Linked DNA regions of Cricetulus griseus. The protein of the gene in region 1 interacts with the protein of each later gene in a biochemical or structural test. Links are inferred from orthologs where the notes say so. Each region holds a gene or a part of one and is shown in the gene's direction. Other genes may lie near its edges.

Region 1 (5,251 bases):
TAAGGGAGTGGGAAGGGGGCAGGAAGAAAGTCTTAAGTCCCAATAGGTGCAGTCTGCTGATCTTGGCAGGTATATCCAGACCCTTGCTACATCTCTCATCAACAAGCATAGTGGTCCAGCTCCTGCTGCAGCTTTGCTTGGGGCCTCCTGGGACCCTCTGCACAGCTCAGAGTACTGAGAACATTCCAACTTGCTTGTGTACTCCTAGAAGCTAAAGGGAGGCTAAGCAGGGCTGTAAAGCCAGTCTTCAGATTGAGCTACTTGGTCAGCAGCTTGGTGCAGTTCCTGGTACTGGGCTTCTAGGGTGGACTGGCTGCCTTCAGTTCATCTCAGCAGGTGCACACAATCAATCATCCAGTTCTTGTTTTCTATGGCTAGCTTGTAGCCCCCCAGCCCTCCCCCTTGCTTTCTCCCCAGGGATCAGGATAGTAAAGGCATGGGGTTTGTGGTCCTAAGGTGGAGCTCCTCATGGCAGTTCAGCAGGATGAGGCTCAGGGGTGTGTGGTCTCCAGGTAGAAGAGGAAGTTCCCTCTGGGATGCACCATAGTGCCCAGAGCTGGTGTTTCAGGCATTCTGTAGCAAGATGCCCTCCTGGGCTAGGACCTGTGTTCTGTGCCCGTGGAAGAAACTGAGGACACAATTCCAAGTTTCATGGTGATTCAGAATGGAGAAAATCCTGCAAGAGAAAGGTGTGGTCCATCTGGCCGCCCTCATCCAGCTCTTGCAGGATCACCTGAGCTATCTAGCCTGGGGGGGAGGTGTTCTGGCTTTGAGTTGTTCTCAAGAGCTCCAGATCTAGACTTCACTAGACAGGAAGATCTCACCTGGCTCCACCTCTGCAGGAGCGGGATTCCATCACCTTAGCATTTTGCTGAGGGGTGGGGTAGACTTCACCTTGCAACTGGATGTACCCCAGAGTAGGGCATTATGGGCTTCTGGCTGGGTACTGCTCGGATGCCAATGCTACTTCCTGTTATAGTTCCCCTGCAGAAAGAAGGAATTGAATGGGAACAGACATGGGGCTGGGTCCTAAAAGGAGCTAGATTTGGAAAGTGCCTAAGTATTGACAGCCAGAAACAGGACTCAGGAAAAGCAAGAATTTTTTTTTTTTTTTTTAAAGAGACATCTCACGTTGTATCCCCGATTGGCCTCAATCTCGCGACAATCAGTCCTGCTTATTTCCCGAGCGCTGGGACTGTGTCAAGCTTGGAAAGCAGGGTTTCTATTGAATTCCGTTGGGCGCAAAGAGCCCTATATAGAGAGTCAGACTGGAGCCCACAGCTTCTGCTCGGCCTTTGTCCCTCCATCCAGGACTTGGGAACCTCTTTTTTTTTTTGGTTTTTGAGGCAAGGTTTCTCTTTGTGACTTTGGAGGCTGTCCTGGAACTAGCTCTGTAGACCAGGCTGGTTTCGAACTCACAGAGATCTGCCTGCCTCTGTCTCCCGAGTGCTGGGATTAAAGGCGTGCGCCACCACCGCCCGGCCTTCAGCACCTCTTTAAGCAGACAGAGCGTCACGTCCTCACCTGAGTCTCCATTTCAGAGGAATAACAAACACTTGCCGCCATCCTCAAGCTAAGTAAGGCTGGGGCTGGTATAGGAGTTCACGCGAGTCTTTTGGGGTCTTACGTCACTTCCTGCGGAGACTGTCTTGACCAAATGTACACATCCGCCCGTTCCGACAGTCTTTTGGATGGGAGTGAAGCAGCTTCCGGCCTTATGGAGGTCTCCACAGTCTCCTTCCGGGTTATGGAGGCGAGTGCCCCGGATGTAATACTGGCGAAAGCATCTTTCCTTTCTTTCCCCGCCTGACCCCGGGCTCCTCGGTGAGCGCCAGCCGGTAAGACTGTTCGAATCCCTGCGAATTTGCTTCCTCTCTAATTTGTGCGCCGACTCTGACATGGTCTAGCAGCTCGCTGCGTGGAACTGGGGGTCCTAAGCAACCAGGGCGCCAGCTCTTGGGTCCGACCGGCCTCTGTGGGCACTCGGGTGGGAGCTGGGGGAGCCCTGTAGCTCCGCACTGGTAGGGGAGTGGTGACGTAGGGGAGCCTGGCTTTTTTTCCTGCGTGGGAGTACGCACAGGGTCCGCGCGGGGGCGGAGATCCGCCCGTCAGGGCCTCTGAATGAATTGCCAAACCAATTCCCGACGACCCGCCTGCTAGCGCTTGAGATGGTTCAGTGACCCTTCCTCGCTCAAACGGGACCTGGCGCTTACCAAGGAAAATGTGGTGCCACAGCGCTCTCGCGGCCGGCTCTCCTTACCTAATTTTCTTACTCCGTATCCTTTTCCGAGGTCCAGCTGGAGGAAGTGTTCTGCCAGTCATGCCAAAGAGGAAAGTGACTTTTCAAGGTGTGGGAGATGAGGATGATGAAGATGAAATCAGTGTCCCCAAAAAGAAGGTGAGATGGTCAGACTCCTAATGTCTGTGGAGGACTGAGGAGAAATAAAAGGAAGGAAAGCTGAGAAGCGAAAGAAAGGGTTAGTTTGCCCCGGTGCGCTGGGTTTGGTAGGTTTTCAGTTTGGATACAGATCCTGGAATATTTGGGAAGCTCGCCAGTAGGTTGCCTTTCTCATTTGCTGGTTTCTACTCACAGCTGGTGGACCCTGTGGCTGGAGCAGGGGGTCCTGGGAGCCGCTTCAAAGGCAAACACTCTTTAGACAGTGATGAGGAGGATGATGATGATGAAGGGTCCAGCAAGTATGATATCCTGGCCTCAGAGGATGTAGAAGGTGAGTTATTCCCAAAACATTAGCTGTGTTGGAGGGCAAGTCTGATTATGGAGGTGGGAAGTGTGCCTGTCTCTTTTTTGCATGCCTAGCATGGGGCCCCCATGTCTTTGGTGCAGGTCAGGAAGCAGCTACTCTCCCTAGTGAGGGGGGTGTGAGGATCACACCCTTCAACCTGCAGGAAGAGATGGAGGAAGGCCACTTTGATGCTGATGGCAACTACTTCCTGAACCAGGATGCACAGATCCGAGACAGCTGGCTGGACAACATTGACTGGGTGTGGCCCAGGAGCTGTCCTGGCTGAGGCCTGGGAATGCAGGTGCTGGGCCTGGGCCCTGGTGGAAGTTTGTAGGAAATAATAATTATCTTTCCCTTATAGGTGAAGATCAAGGAGCGGCCACCTGATAAGCACCAGGTTTCAGACTCAGAGGAGGAAGACAGCCTGGGTCAGACTCCGATGAGTGCCCAAGCCCTCCTGGAGGGACTTTTGGAGCTGCTGTTGCCAAGAGAGACAGTGGCTGGGGCACTTAGGCGTTTGGGGGCCCGAGGAGGAGGCAAAGGGGACAGCAAGGGGACTGGACGGCCCAATTCCCCACAGCGCCTAGACCGGCTCTCTGGGTTGGCTGATCAAATGGTGGCTCGAGGCAACCTTGGTGTATACCAGGAAACAAGGGAACGATTGGCTATGTGTCTGAAGGGTTTGGGGTGTCGGACTCAGGGATCCCATGACCCCACACCTCCACCCTCCCTGGACATGTTTGCTGACGAAGTGACAGAGGGAGAACTGGAAACCCCGACCCCTGCGCATAAAGGAGGTAAGCTTTTAGGACACAGGAGAGGCAATGCCAGTGGGAGACTGGGCACTTAAGGCCGATACGTCTTTGTTGTCTTAGAAGCAGAGTCAGCGGGAGATGGTCTAATGGATGTGATGTGGGAATATAAGTGGGAGAACACGGGGGATGCTGAGCTGTATGGACCATTCACCAGTGCCCAGATGCAGGTCAGTGGCTTCCTCCTGTCTTGTCTGTCCATCCCGACTTCTGTCATCTTTCCTAAGTTTTGTCCTCTCTTCTTACAGACCTGGGTGACTGAAGGCTACTTCCCGGATGGTGTTTATTGCCGGAAGCTGGACCCTCCAGGTGGTCAGTTCTACAATTCCAAGCGCATTGATTTTGATCTCTACACGTGAACCTGCTAAGGGCCCAGTGTGGTAGCCCCTTTTTCTTGGACTTGGCAGAGGAGGCCCCAGCTGCCCTGGGCAGTGAGGATCTTGGAAGCTACTCTTCAGCCACTTTCCCTTTCCCAATAAAAGCCTTGAGTGTGCATCAGGGCCTTGATGTGCTGGTAGCCAGAAGCCAGGGCTCCTCCGTAGCTCCTGTTGGCTTACCTGGCCCTTGAGTGTCTCCTCCTTCCTTAGATGCTTCTCTCTGGTGTCTTGGACCACCTCGGTTTGTTTTCCGCCCTTGGTGGCAGTAGTAGGGCCCGTCAGGTGTCCTGTGACTTGCCATGTCAAATTCCCTTCAATCACTCTATTCTCCTATCTCCCCTGCAAGTCCTTGTTTTGCTGATCTTCAGCTTTTAGGACCTCAGATTCTCTGGCCTAGTAACCCCTTTGCAGCTGGGACATTTGGAAAAGTTTGAGATCCTATTGAGAACACTCAGGAGGCCTCTTAAACATGGGTTCTCCTCTTCTCCCTAGTCTGATTTTTCCTTCCCTTGCAGTAGCTCCCATAGCTCTTAGGTGAAGCATGAACTTAGTAGCTCTTCAAAGCTACTTGGGCCACCATGCATTATACAGGCACAGAGATGGGCAGTGACTTCCTGGAGGTCACACAGTAAATTAGAGAGCTGGCCCAGAACCAGTGAGCTGCTTCCCCTGACCTTTCTTGGCATAAAGCCTTTTCTTCCTTGGCCATTCAGGCCCTGCAGCTTAACATTTCCCAGGCTCCCACATCTCTGGCATAGGGATGGTGCCTTGAGGGAACATTGCTGGACTGGTCTTCCAGGAGCCCCAAGTGCAGTGGCAGACAGACACGTAAAAGCAGTGCCTCACTCGTACCAGTGCTGCCCTGCGCCCATGCCACCTGCACATGACGGGTACCCTGTGCCAGGCTAGGAACTTACATAGGGGCCCTGGCTTGGTTGGGGGTGTTTGATCAGACACCTTCAACCCAGTTTATTGCCAGCCGAGACCACAGTTTCTTTGACTTTGAGAAGCCTTTTAGTGGTAAGACATTTACTTAATGTTAGTTGTAAGGTGGTATTGGATGGACTTGCTTTCAGAAATACTTAGAAGTGAAAAGTTGGTGTCTAGAGATGAGTGAAATCCAGTCATGTCCGTAGCCTGGGTGAGTGTTCACAATGTTTGGTGAGACAGACACGGAGGACTTCCCCGAGGTGTTCTTTGGGTTCCTCAGATTTGACCCATCTAGAGCTGATCCCCCCCCCCACACACACTTTCTGAGTGTACCTTACTGAGGACATCCAGGAGGGGGCAGAATATCAGTCCCTGAACCCCAGACCCT
Region 2 (5,503 bases), on another chromosome or scaffold:
CAGAGGTCCTGAGTTCAATTCCCAGCAAACACGTGGTGGCTTACAACCCCCTTGAATGAGATCTGGTGCCCTCTGCTGGCATGCAGGCAGAAGACTGTATACATAATAAATAAATAAAATCTTAAAAAAAACCCAAAAGACAGGACATTCATAGTATCACTTGCCCATATGACCTTCCTGAGTGTCTTTTTTCCAGGGACACTGGTATCTGCATCACTGACCCTTCTCCTGAACACAAACCTTTTCTTTCTCTCCCCCAGTTCTGTTTGTCCTGGTCATTCCATGTCTTAGACCATCTATAGTTGTCAATTTGGTTGTTCACTATTATTTCATAGTCTTAGGATAAGAGAGATGGCTCAGTGGTTAAGAGCACTGGCTGCTCTTACAGGGGACCTGAGTTCCATTCCCAGCACCCACATGGCAGCTCACAACCATCTATAACTTCTGTCCCAAGAGATCCTACGCCCTCTTCTGGCCTCTTCAGGCAGTACATGCATTCTTAGTTTTTAACAGCTATGACAAAGCACCATTTGTTGGGGTCTTAAAGTTCCAGAGAGTTAGTATCCATGGCCATCATAGCAGGGAGCATGGCAGCAGGCAGGAAGGCATAGTGCTGGAGCAGTAGCTGAGAGCTGAGATTCCTATCCACAGCAAGAGACAGAGAGAGCTAACAGAACAGCATGGGCTTTTAAGACCTTTGAGTCCATACCCAGTGTAACGAACCTCCAACAAGTCCACACCTCCCAATCCTTTCCAAATAGTTTCTTCCCAGAGGATGACCAAGCATTCAAATACAAGAACCTATTGGGGCTATTTTAATTCAAATCAACACAGTACATATGGTGTACATACATACATGCAGGCAAAATACCCTAACACATAAATAAAATAAATATTATTTTATAGTTTGTTTTTAAAAAATTTGTTTTGGAACCAGTTTTTCTTTACATAGTTATAATTCCAAGAGAGTCATGAAATGTATGCTAAATATGAGATGGGTGGGTTGACAGCCTTTATAGTGGAGAAGATTGGCTTCTTTTTATAACATAAACAATTAAAAAAATTTTAGATTTCTTTATACTTGTTTTATGTGTTTGAGTGTTTTGCCTGCATGTATGTCTGTGTGTCACTTGCATGCTTGGTGCCTGTGGAGGCCAGAGGAGGGCATCAGACCCCCTGGAACTGGAGTTACCAAGGTTTGTAAGCTGTCTTGTAGGTGTAAGGGACAAAACTCAGGTTTTCTACAATTGTTCTTTAATCACTGAGCCATTTTTCCAGCCTCCCAATATTTATTTATTTTTATTTTATTTGTGCGAGTGCTTGTTTACATATATTTGTGCACAACACCTGCGTGCAGTGACCACAGAGGCCAGAAGAGGGTTGTTGGGTCTCCTGGAACTAGAGTTACAGATAGTTATGAGGCGCCACGTGGGTGCTGGAAATGGCATCTGGGTCCTCTGGAAGAGCAGCCAGTGCTCTTAACTGCCCAGCCATCTTTCCAGGCCCCTACATGAACAATTTTAGAATATTAAAAATATTTTCAAGGAAGAGGGAAAATCCATTTTTATCATTTCACGTGCACACATTTTCTAGCATCTCTCCCCATAGGATACATAGTTGAATCCCATTTTCTTACAAACATTTACCAGTGAGTCTACGGGGTCCGGTTGGAGGCAGCACCGCTGAGTGGACAGTGAGTCTGAGTGAGTTTGAGCCCTTGTTACAAATGGGGTGACTGACCTCTCAGCTCTTCTCTTCAATGGGGTGCCGAAACCACCAGCCTCAACAGTTTCGTAAAGATTAAAATGTGACGCCGACACACAGGATCACAGAACACCTGTTTTGGCAAAGGAGGGCCTCCTATGGGGCTGAGGGACTGTGAGTGTTTTCTTCCCTACGGTGAACAGCAAGCCTGAGAGACACGTGGTTCAGGTTGCTGGGTGTGGCTTCTGCCAGTCTTACTGCCATCACGTTAGAAAGAAGCACTCAGAATCACCACTGTGAAACAGAGTCTAAAGATGAGATGTGAATTTCTAGCTGGCTTCCTTCTGCTTTTCAGCATTTCCAACAAAGGTAAGCCGGCGTGTGGAACTTCTCTGGAGTTATTCTGGAGACCCTGGAATGAGTGTGAGAGTCAAAGAGGGAGATCCTTGGTAGTTCCAAGACCTCAGCAACCATTTTGCTTTTTACAGGGACGGTCTCCGGAGACAGTAGTATTATTTGGGGTGCCTTGGGTCATGATATCAACTTGACCATCCCTAACTTTCAAGTGACTGATACTGATGAAGTCCGATGGGAAAAGGGGAGAACGCTGGTCGCACAGTTAAAAAAAGAGATGAAACCTTTTCTGCTATCGGAAGCATTTGAGATCTTGACGAATGAAACCTTGCGAATAAAAAAACTGAAGAGAGACGACAACGGCACCTATAATGTGATAGTGTATGGTGCAAATGGCAGTAGTAAGCTGCAAAAAGCATTCGACTTGAGGATTCTAGGTGAGTCTTCCCTCTATGAAGTTTTTCCTTTACTTCCAGTGCGATGTAGCGAGTTGGGATGCAGTGTTTTTGTAACATTCCTATTCAACATCTCCTCTGTGGCCCACAATGTACACTCCAGTGGGTGGGGTGTTCTCAAGCCTATCTAGCTTTCATTCTCTCTTTGGGGTGGCTGTGGGGCTACGCCAAGAATCCCAGGTTAGAGTTGGCATTAGTCAGAAAGAGGACAGGCTAGCAGAGAAAAAAGGAAGACATCCTTGGTGGCTGATAAAGGAGTAGCAAGACAGGGTGTCAGAAAGCAGAAGGTGCCCAGGGAGCCGTGTGTCTCTTGTCTGGAGAACCAAGATCAAGCCAGAGTGCTCTGAAGGAGTGAAAGGGCAGGAAAGGCCTGGAGATCCTGAGCGAAGGACCAATTCTTTCTTTTTAGTTTCTTCAACATCATCACAGTGAAGATGGACAGTGATTTTGCTGGGACTTGAACTAAACCGTGAGGCTTCGTGCCTGCATGTACAGAGAGTGCAGGACACTGAGGGTGGATGTGGGAAGACTAGCTAGAAAGCTCTACTGTAATTCCAAGTGAGGACAAGGAGGACGGTGGGTGGTCTTAATCTTAGTAGCACAAAAGAACCAGTAAGAGCTCGTTGGTGATGGAGCACACTCAGTGTTTGAGAGGCAGAGGTAGGCAGATCTCTGTGAGTTGGAGGCCAGCCTGGTCTACAGAGTGAGTTCCAGGACAGCCAGGACTACACAGAGAAACCCTGTCTTGAAAAACAAACAAACAAACAAACAAACAAAAACCAGCAAGAAAGCTGTAAGAAGTTAGTGATGCCTAGGCCTCTGGCATGGAGTGGGATCTATAACTTCCAAGTGCTTCTAGTGAACGGTTGTCCCTGATAACCACTGGTTTGGTCTAAAGGGTGAGTGCAGATGAGGAGAGATGCAAACATGCAGGCTGTGGGTATGGTGGTGGTGGTGGTGGGGAATCAAGGAAGCTTGGGTGAGTGAGAAGGAAGAGAAAAGCATTGAATGTCACTGAAGTTGAAAGCCCAAGGACAAGTGACATCTCCTCGCAATAATAGGTGAGATGAGAAAGCCTGCCCTCTACCTGCAGAGGAAGCTGAGAATGCCTGCACAGCATAGACCAGCCATTCAGGGAGCTTCATTCTGAGCTTCACACAGGAAATGTCACCGGAGAAAGGACTCCCCTCATCCTACCTGTGGTGTCTCTCCCACCCTGTACTCAGCACCTAGGCCTAGCACCAGCCACTCTTCAGGACCTAATGTCAGCTCCTCTATGCAAGACTCCCTTCCAGACCCTAATCCTATAACCTTGTCTAGAGAGAACTTTCCAGAAATGGGGTGAGAATGAGAAAGGCCACCTGCCATGGGCACTGAGAATGGCCAGAGTCACGACTGCAGGCCATGGGGCTCTACGGTCACCTTTATTTTGGGGTTGAGAAGTCAGGAGCTTGTTAGCCTGGTTTTATTTAAAGCACCTAGTAATCTTGAGAACTTATAATTACAAGCTTCTGTCCATCTAAAAGGAAACAGAGACCCAGTCGGGAGTGACATGGCCATGTTCTTACTGTTTGACAGGATCAAAGTCAGGATGCTAACCCAGGGCTTCCTTGACAAGGAGGGCGACATTCCCTCCCAAATAAACTCATTGATTCTGTATGATTCACACACCACACAGTTTGTCTCTTTACTATGCACAGTTCAACAGCTTTCTGCATAGTCATGGAGTTAATGTGGTTATCACCGTGGGCAACATTTTCTTTACCCCTAAAGGAAACCCAGACCCTTAGACTAAAAACAGTGACTTCATTATTGCATGCAAATGACAATGCCACACAGTATCTTGACTCAACTTGTGGTCCTGTCATCATTATATATTACACAGAATTGGAAGATTGTTCTCGGCTCTGAACCTGATTACCCAGCACAGGTTATGTATCACTTACATAAGGTGTTTGGGATTAGAAGTGTTTAGGATTTGGGGCCTTGTGAAGATTTTGAAGTATTTGCATATATATGTGTGCTGTATCTTGGAGAGAGGACACAAATGTAAACATGACATTCATTTATGCTTATATCTATGCTTCATATGCCCTGTTCAAGGTAATTTAATACAGTATTTTAAATAGCATCGGGCAGGAAACATGGTGTCATGGTGTGGGATTTCCCACTTGTGGTATTGCACTGTGGCTCAGAAAGTTTTGGATTTTGGAAAATTTCTGATTTTTCTATTAGGGGTTACTCATGAGGCCTGTAATATTCAACAGGGGTATGAAGGTGCCCTGGAGTCCTAGGATACCACACCTGTTTTCTCAGTGCTGAGGGTCCCCCTCCACTTGTTTCGCTATGCTCCGAGATTCTACCTTCCCCAATGAGGCAGCTGACTGAAAGGACAGTGCAGGGCCCCAAGAAACCTGTGGAGAAGGAGAGGATCCTAGAAGGCCAAGATTAAGAAGCCATATCTAGCCAGGCAGTAGTGGCAGACAATCCCAACACTCTGGAGGTCAAGGGCAAGCAGATCTCTGGGAGTTCAAGTCCAGTCTGGTCTATAGAGTGAGTTCCAGGATAGCCAAGGCTACACAAAGAAACCCTGTCTTGAAAAACAACAACAACCCAAAATAAACAACATAAAAAAAGCCATATCTAGGAACAGCCAGCCATTCATGCCCCTTTCAGAAAGCTGATTTACAGGAAGACTATCTACAAACAAGGTTGCTCGTCACTGTGTTTGCACCAGTAAAATGCTAGTGCATGTTTTCTTTAGCAGCTTAATTAGGAGCACCAGTTACAGAGATGGTGGAGGTGTACATTCACTGAAGCCTATGAGAAGGGAATGTAATGATACAATCTTAAAAGATAGAAGGCAGGTTACAAAGTCATGTGATTCAGGGGCTGGGGACATAGTGCAGTAGTAGAGTTCTTGCCTAAATGCTGAGGCCCTGAGTTCAGCCCTCAACACTATTCCCTGCCACCAGGTACATAATCCAATT
Region 3 (5,594 bases), on another chromosome or scaffold:
CTGCACTGGGCCAAGGTTTGTCTTTCCCAGAATTATATGCCTTGGCCCCAACGTTAGGGTTTGGGGAGGGTTTTCTCTGTGTGAAGTAAAGGGTGATCAGAGTGTGGTGTCAGCTTGGTGAAGAAGCTCCTGACAGTCATCCCCACTCCAAGCCAAGGCCTGAGATTGACTGCCGCCCTCCTGCCAACCCTCCTGCCCCGTAATTCTGGACAAAGACTTCCCCGCGGTGGCCGCCCCCGGAAACCCTCTGAGTCCAGCTTCAGTGCTCTCCTTGGGCCCAGTACCAGTCCTGCTCCCACCCCACCGCCCACGTTATTCCTGCTCCAGGGTCCATCCCACCTCACCGTCCACATCCGGGCGCTCCCCGAAGCCTGTACGCACAGCCCCGGCGCGAGCTCGCGGGGGGCTCAGCTTTGACCTCAGCTCGGTGAACATGGAGTCCGCCAGTGCGTGGCTCGGGTACACGCCCCTCGCGGAGTACCAGGCGGCCAGTACGGCCGATGGGCAACGCGCACCGCGTCCCCACCCGCCCGAGTCCGCCGAGCCCAAGCCGGTCCCCGCGGCCCGGGAGTCTGCGCGGCAAAGCACCTGCCGCCCAGCCCTGGGCGCAAGGCGCGCTCCGGGAGCTCGGAGGTGTATCGGCGGCGCGCGGGCTGCGTATGCTGAGGGTGTCCGCCAGGGCAAAAGGCGTCCTTGCGCACCTGGGTACGGCTCTGCGGACCAGCCTCTCCTGCAATGTGCTGGAGGAGCTTTGCAGTTGGCAAGAGAGGAACTTTCGGTCCCCTCGGTGTGGTAGTAGTGGGGGCCCTAATCACACCTGTGACCTTTTACTTACGCTGTCCAGCTAAAGGCTAGATCAATCTCTCCCAAATACCCGTGTATCCTAACTTATTCATCCCCTTTTAAATTTCATGAATGTTTTGCCCGAATGTATATGTCTGTGCACCACGCATGTACCTGGTGCGGAAATCGGATCCCCCAGCCCTGGGGTTTATGGTCTGTGAGCTGTCATGTGGGTGAACCCGTGTCCTCTGCAAAAATATGAAAACTTCTTTTAATCACCAAGCTATATCTTCATCCCCACTTGCTCGTTCTTTACTGGAGCATTCTCTTTTCTCAGACCATTTTCCAGAGACGCTAGCTGACATTTGCCTGCGGGTCACTTTGAACTCCAGGCAGTACTATGCCTCTCTGTTGAACTCCTGAATCAGACTCTGTTCCTAAGGGTTCAGTGTTCATAGACTCAATCAATCCTGTTCCTCCCTAAAAGCTTGTTTGAGGAGCCAAGAATGGTTGTTTGCTTCAGTACTCCACTGAAAAGCACTGGACGTAGAAGTCTGGTTGCCTGGTCCAGCATAGCAATTTGCAGTTTTTCCTGTCTGCCCTAGAGTCTGATGCTCTCCCCAGGTTGAGACTGCTTTATTGAAACAGAGGGGCCCTGATCTTTCCACTGGATGAAAGGGGAGCACATGTAGAGGGATTTGGACACACACATACATATATACTTAATAGCTACCGGGAAGGTACAGCTATTTTTGTGATTTAACCGGAGGCAGGGTTGTTTTCCCTAGTATATTGTTTCTGCAGGTAGAGCCCATCATCCCTGTGGCTAAGCAATCCTTTATACCTTTGGGCTATTGCCCAGTACAGCCTGACTCATGACCTGAATCTATTTATTACCCAACAGGTGGGATTGGCATTGTCTTGCGTAGAGCTGCACACAGGCAGAAAATATCTGTGTAGAGTTACTGTGGTGCGCGTCCACTAAAGCCCCTGGGCACACAATCACTCCCAAGCATGTAACTCCGGCCCATGCACTTATTCTCTGAAGGCCCACGGGGGTGGGACGGAGCAGGAGGGGGGGGTGTCGCAGTTCTGAACGCTGAGCGCACAGAGCAGTAGTTGCGGAGTGCACGCAGTATCGACGGGCGGTGGCCACACAGTACAGCTAGGCAAGTCTTGGTCATGTAGGCTGAATCCGTCTTCCTAAGGCTAGGCAGATTCGAGGCCATGCCAGCACCGGGACGCTCCTCAACAAGCCTACTGGGCTCAGGCTGTGCATCGTCCCTGGCACAGCAACAGAACGCATGACCCTTACATCTGCCTGCGCGGCCCGCTGCGTTAATGGTTAGTGGCTTCCGCGCACGCGTGCTCAGCTTCCCACAGCAAACCCACCCAGCAGCCCCGACCGGAAACGCTTTGCAAACTCACATCTTTGACTTCCGTCAGAGGCTCTGTGTGGGCGGAGTTTTGCGCGACCTCACTCTCTACTTCCGGGGCGCCGGCGACGCAGTAGCCGCCTCTCTTCCAGCTGCGACACCGCGAGTATTCTTCGGCCGCCTACCTGCTCCTCTATCTTTCTCTGCCTCGGCCAAAAACACCGCCATGAACAAGAAGAAGAAGCCGTTCCTGGGCATGCCCGCGCCGCTTGGCTATGTACCCGGGCTGGGCCGGGGGTAAGGCAGTGGGCGGAACTTATACCAGGAAGGGTGGCTAGTGCTCTGGAACACTACTTGCTCCAGGCCTAGTTGAGAATGATACTTGTGACCACTAAGTAGAGAGAGACCTCATCTCAAAACAAACCAACAAAACAAAACAAAAAACAAAAAACAAGTGCCTGAGGGTCTGAGTGTGGTGGTGAAGGTCTCTAATCCCAGCATTGAGGCGGGGCGCGGTGGGGGTGGTTGGGGGGGAGACAAGCCTGATCGGCGTAGCGAATTCCAAGACATCCAGGTTTACTTAAAGAAATCTTGTCTCAAAAACAAGAATAACGTTCACCGCCATATATTCTGAGAGGCACTAGGTAATTTGACACAATGCTTGACAGACATGGTGGCCTTTTTTGTTAGAATAAGCCCGACTGCCACCCTGAGATGTGAATCTGACCTCAGGGATTACGCAGGCGTGTGAGCCTCATTGTTTTGGTGTCTGAAGTAATATGCACAAGCAAGTCGGCTGTAAGGAGCAGTTGAGTCTGATGTGTATAGTAGGAGTGTGCTACTCCTTTATTCCCTTAAGCATCTTTTCCCTCTAGGGTGTGTGGCCATAGGTCACCTTTGGACAGCAATGGCCTATGCCTGCCAACCATAAGGTGTTGGGTAAATGAATAGTATTTTTCCTACTTATTTATGCATTAGATGAGACATAAGTCTCTCCTGTTAATAGTATTTAGAATTGACTTGAATTCACTAGAATTCAAGGTTTGGTGTTTGTGTATATAAGCACACACAGGAGAACAGAAGTTTTAAGAGTGTAGCATTTTAGTCAGATTTACAAAGAGGATTTGAAGTGTCAGATTGGGAAAAGCAAAGAAAAGTGGAATTTATGCCAGGTAGTTCCAGCACTAGGGATCCAGAAGCCAACTTGGTCTACAGATCAAGTTTTAAGACAGAAACTGTCTCAAAAAGCGAACAAAAAGAGGAATTTGGTGTAGACACATAAAAAGGCAAGTAGTGGGCTGTTGAGGTGACTCAGTAGGTAAGGCTCTGTCAAGCCTGAGTTTGATCCCCAGAATCCACGTGATAGAAGGGGAGAATAGATTATTGTCTTCTGACCTCTATACATGTACCAGGTCACACACACTAAATAAATAAAAAAACAGGCAGTTTTAAAAGGCAGCTGGAGGTGTAGCCAACTGTACCATGCCCAGGCCTGGGTTTGATTCCAGCACCTTGCCCAACCTCTTTAAAAAAGACAATGGGAATAGAGAGATGGCTCAGCAGTTAGGAGCACTGACTGTTTTTGTGGAGAACTTGAGTTTCGTAAACGGAGGTGGAGCTTTCATGTCCCGGCTGCACAGTTCCAAATAATCACACAGAAAGTTTTATTAATTACAACTATAATTATATAGTTGTATAATGATATAATTTGACCTATATATAGTTCAGGCTTATTACTAACTAGCGCTTACATTTAAATTAACATGTTTCTATTACTCTGTGTTGCCATGTAGCCCTGTCTTCTTTCTTTCTTTCTTTCTTTCTTTCTTTCTTTCTTTCTTTCTTTCTTTCTGTTTTGTTTTTTGTTTTTCCGAGATAGGGTTTCTCTGTGGCTTTGGAGCCTGTCCTTGAACTATCTCTTATAGACCAGGCTGGTCTCGAACTCACAGAGATCCACCTGCCTCTGCCTCCCGAGTGCTGGGACTAAAGGCATGCACCACCAACACCCGGCTATTTCTTTATTTTTTATTAATTTATTTTTTACATTCCAACCCCAGTTCCCCCTCCTTTTCTCTTCCCACTACCCCACTACCCTACTACCCCTCCCCCCCCACCTCTCATCTGCTCCTCAGAGAGGGTAAGGCCTCCCCTAGGAAGTATACTAAGTCTGTCTCATCTCCTTGAGGCAGGCACCTCTCTACCCCCACACCCCTGTGCCTAGGCTGGGCAAGATATCTCTCCATATAGAATGGGTAGCTGCTGGAGATGGCTCAATATTTAGGAGCACTGGCTGCTCTTCCCAGAGGACTTGGGTTCGATTCCCAGTACCCACGAGAGATAATATTTAAGCCGGGCGGTGGTGGTCCATGCCTTTAATCCCAGGACTCTGGAGGCAGAGGCAGGTGGATCTCTGTGAGTTTGAGACCAGCCTGGTCTACAAAAGCAAGTTCCAGGACAGCCTCCAAAGCCACAGAGAAATCCTGTCTTGAAAAACCGAAAAAAAGAAAAAAAAGGAAAAAAAAAAAAAAAAAGAATAGGTAGCCCTGGCTTTTACTGGTTTGCTGTTGTTTCTTGGGCAGCTGGCTCATGTCTCCCTGGACTCTGCCCCTCCTCTGTTTGATTGTTCTACCTAACCCTATTCTGCCAGGCTAGTGGTCAGCTTTTATTATTAACCAATGGGAACAATATATATTTACAGTGTATAGAAGCATTCTATAGTATATCTCCCTATCTGGCTAATCAAAAAGGAAGGTTTTAACTTTAACTTAGTAAAATTGCATATAAAAGAAAAAGTTCAGTCCCAGTGAGGCCAGAAAAGAAAGGAATCCAGAATGGTGGGATTTGCTGCAAAAAGAATGGAGCTGCCAGGGAGCCTCTGGTAGTGGATTAGTATTTTTCCCTGGTGCAAGAAGGGACTTTGAGAGCCCATCCCATATGAAGGGTTACACTCTGGCCCTGGACACATGGGGAAGGGCCCAGGATCAGCATAGGAAGACTTGGTGGACTTTGCTGAGCTCCCGTTGAGGGCCCTACCCTGCCTGGGGAGTAGTGGGTGGATGGGGTTGGGGGGATGGGCTGGGGGTGGGGGAGAAAGTTTGGGGGTGAGGGGAGGGAGAGGGAGAAGGGACTTGAAATAAGCTTGTTCCCTAACTAGAACTAATAAAATAAAATAAAATTTAAAAAAAAAAAAAAAAAAGAATGGAGCTGGAGGCTATGGGGACCTTAGCATAGTGGGATTTGCTGCAAAAAGAATGGAGCTGGAGGCTATGGGGACCTTAGCATAGTGGGATTTGCTGCAAAAAGAATGGAGCTGGAGGCTATGGGGACCTTAGCATTAGGATAGAGCTCCCATAGTTTATGAGCTACTTTTTTTTATGTTTGTTTGTTTTTGTTTTTTTGAGGCAGAGTTTCTTTGTGTACCCCTGGCTGTCTTCA

The links.
Region 2: the proteins of Cd2bp2 (region 1) and Cd2 interact in a biophysical measurement, tested with the Homo sapiens proteins (6 studies listed by BioGRID and IntAct, with this or other methods). The link is inferred for Cricetulus griseus from reciprocal best matches to the Homo sapiens genes CD2BP2 and CD2.
Region 3: the proteins of Cd2bp2 (region 1) and pre-mRNA-processing factor 6 form a complex in vitro, tested with the Homo sapiens proteins (2 studies listed by BioGRID and IntAct). The link is inferred for Cricetulus griseus from reciprocal best matches to the Homo sapiens genes CD2BP2 and PRPF6.

The regions. Positions count from the first base shown.
Region 1 is NC_048596.1:73,577,953-73,583,203, forward strand, and holds the start of Cd2bp2 (CD2 antigen cytoplasmic tail-binding protein 2), read left to right. Parts: upstream 1-1,683; 5' UTR 1,684-1,838; intron 1,839-2,291; exon of another isoform or gene 2,292-2,297; 5' UTR 2,298-2,320; coding exon 2,321-2,398; intron 2,399-2,593; coding exon 2,594-2,729; intron 2,730-2,845; coding exon 2,846-3,003; intron 3,004-3,105; coding exon 3,106-3,541; intron 3,542-3,619; coding exon 3,620-3,726; intron 3,727-3,804; coding exon 3,805-3,915; 3' UTR 3,916-5,251. UniProt on the Homo sapiens protein: Involved in pre-mRNA splicing as component of the U5 snRNP complex that is involved in spliceosome assembly.
Region 2 is NW_023276806.1:55,693,743-55,699,245, forward strand, and holds the start of Cd2 (T-cell surface antigen CD2), read left to right. Parts: upstream 1-2,018; coding exon 2,019-2,073; intron 2,074-2,192; coding exon 2,193-2,495; intron 2,496-5,503. UniProt on the Homo sapiens protein: CD2 interacts with lymphocyte function-associated antigen CD58 (LFA-3) and CD48/BCM1 to mediate adhesion between T-cells and other cell types. CD2 is implicated in the triggering of T-cells, the cytoplasmic domain is implicated in the signaling function.
Region 3 is NC_048599.1:309,962-315,555, reverse strand, and holds the start of pre-mRNA-processing factor 6, read left to right. Parts: upstream 1-2,261; 5' UTR 2,262-2,385; coding exon 2,386-2,456; intron 2,457-5,594. Other genes in the region: Samd10 (sterile alpha motif domain-containing protein 10), read right to left, coding at 345-435. UniProt on the Homo sapiens protein: Involved in pre-mRNA splicing as component of the U4/U6-U5 tri-snRNP complex, one of the building blocks of the spliceosome.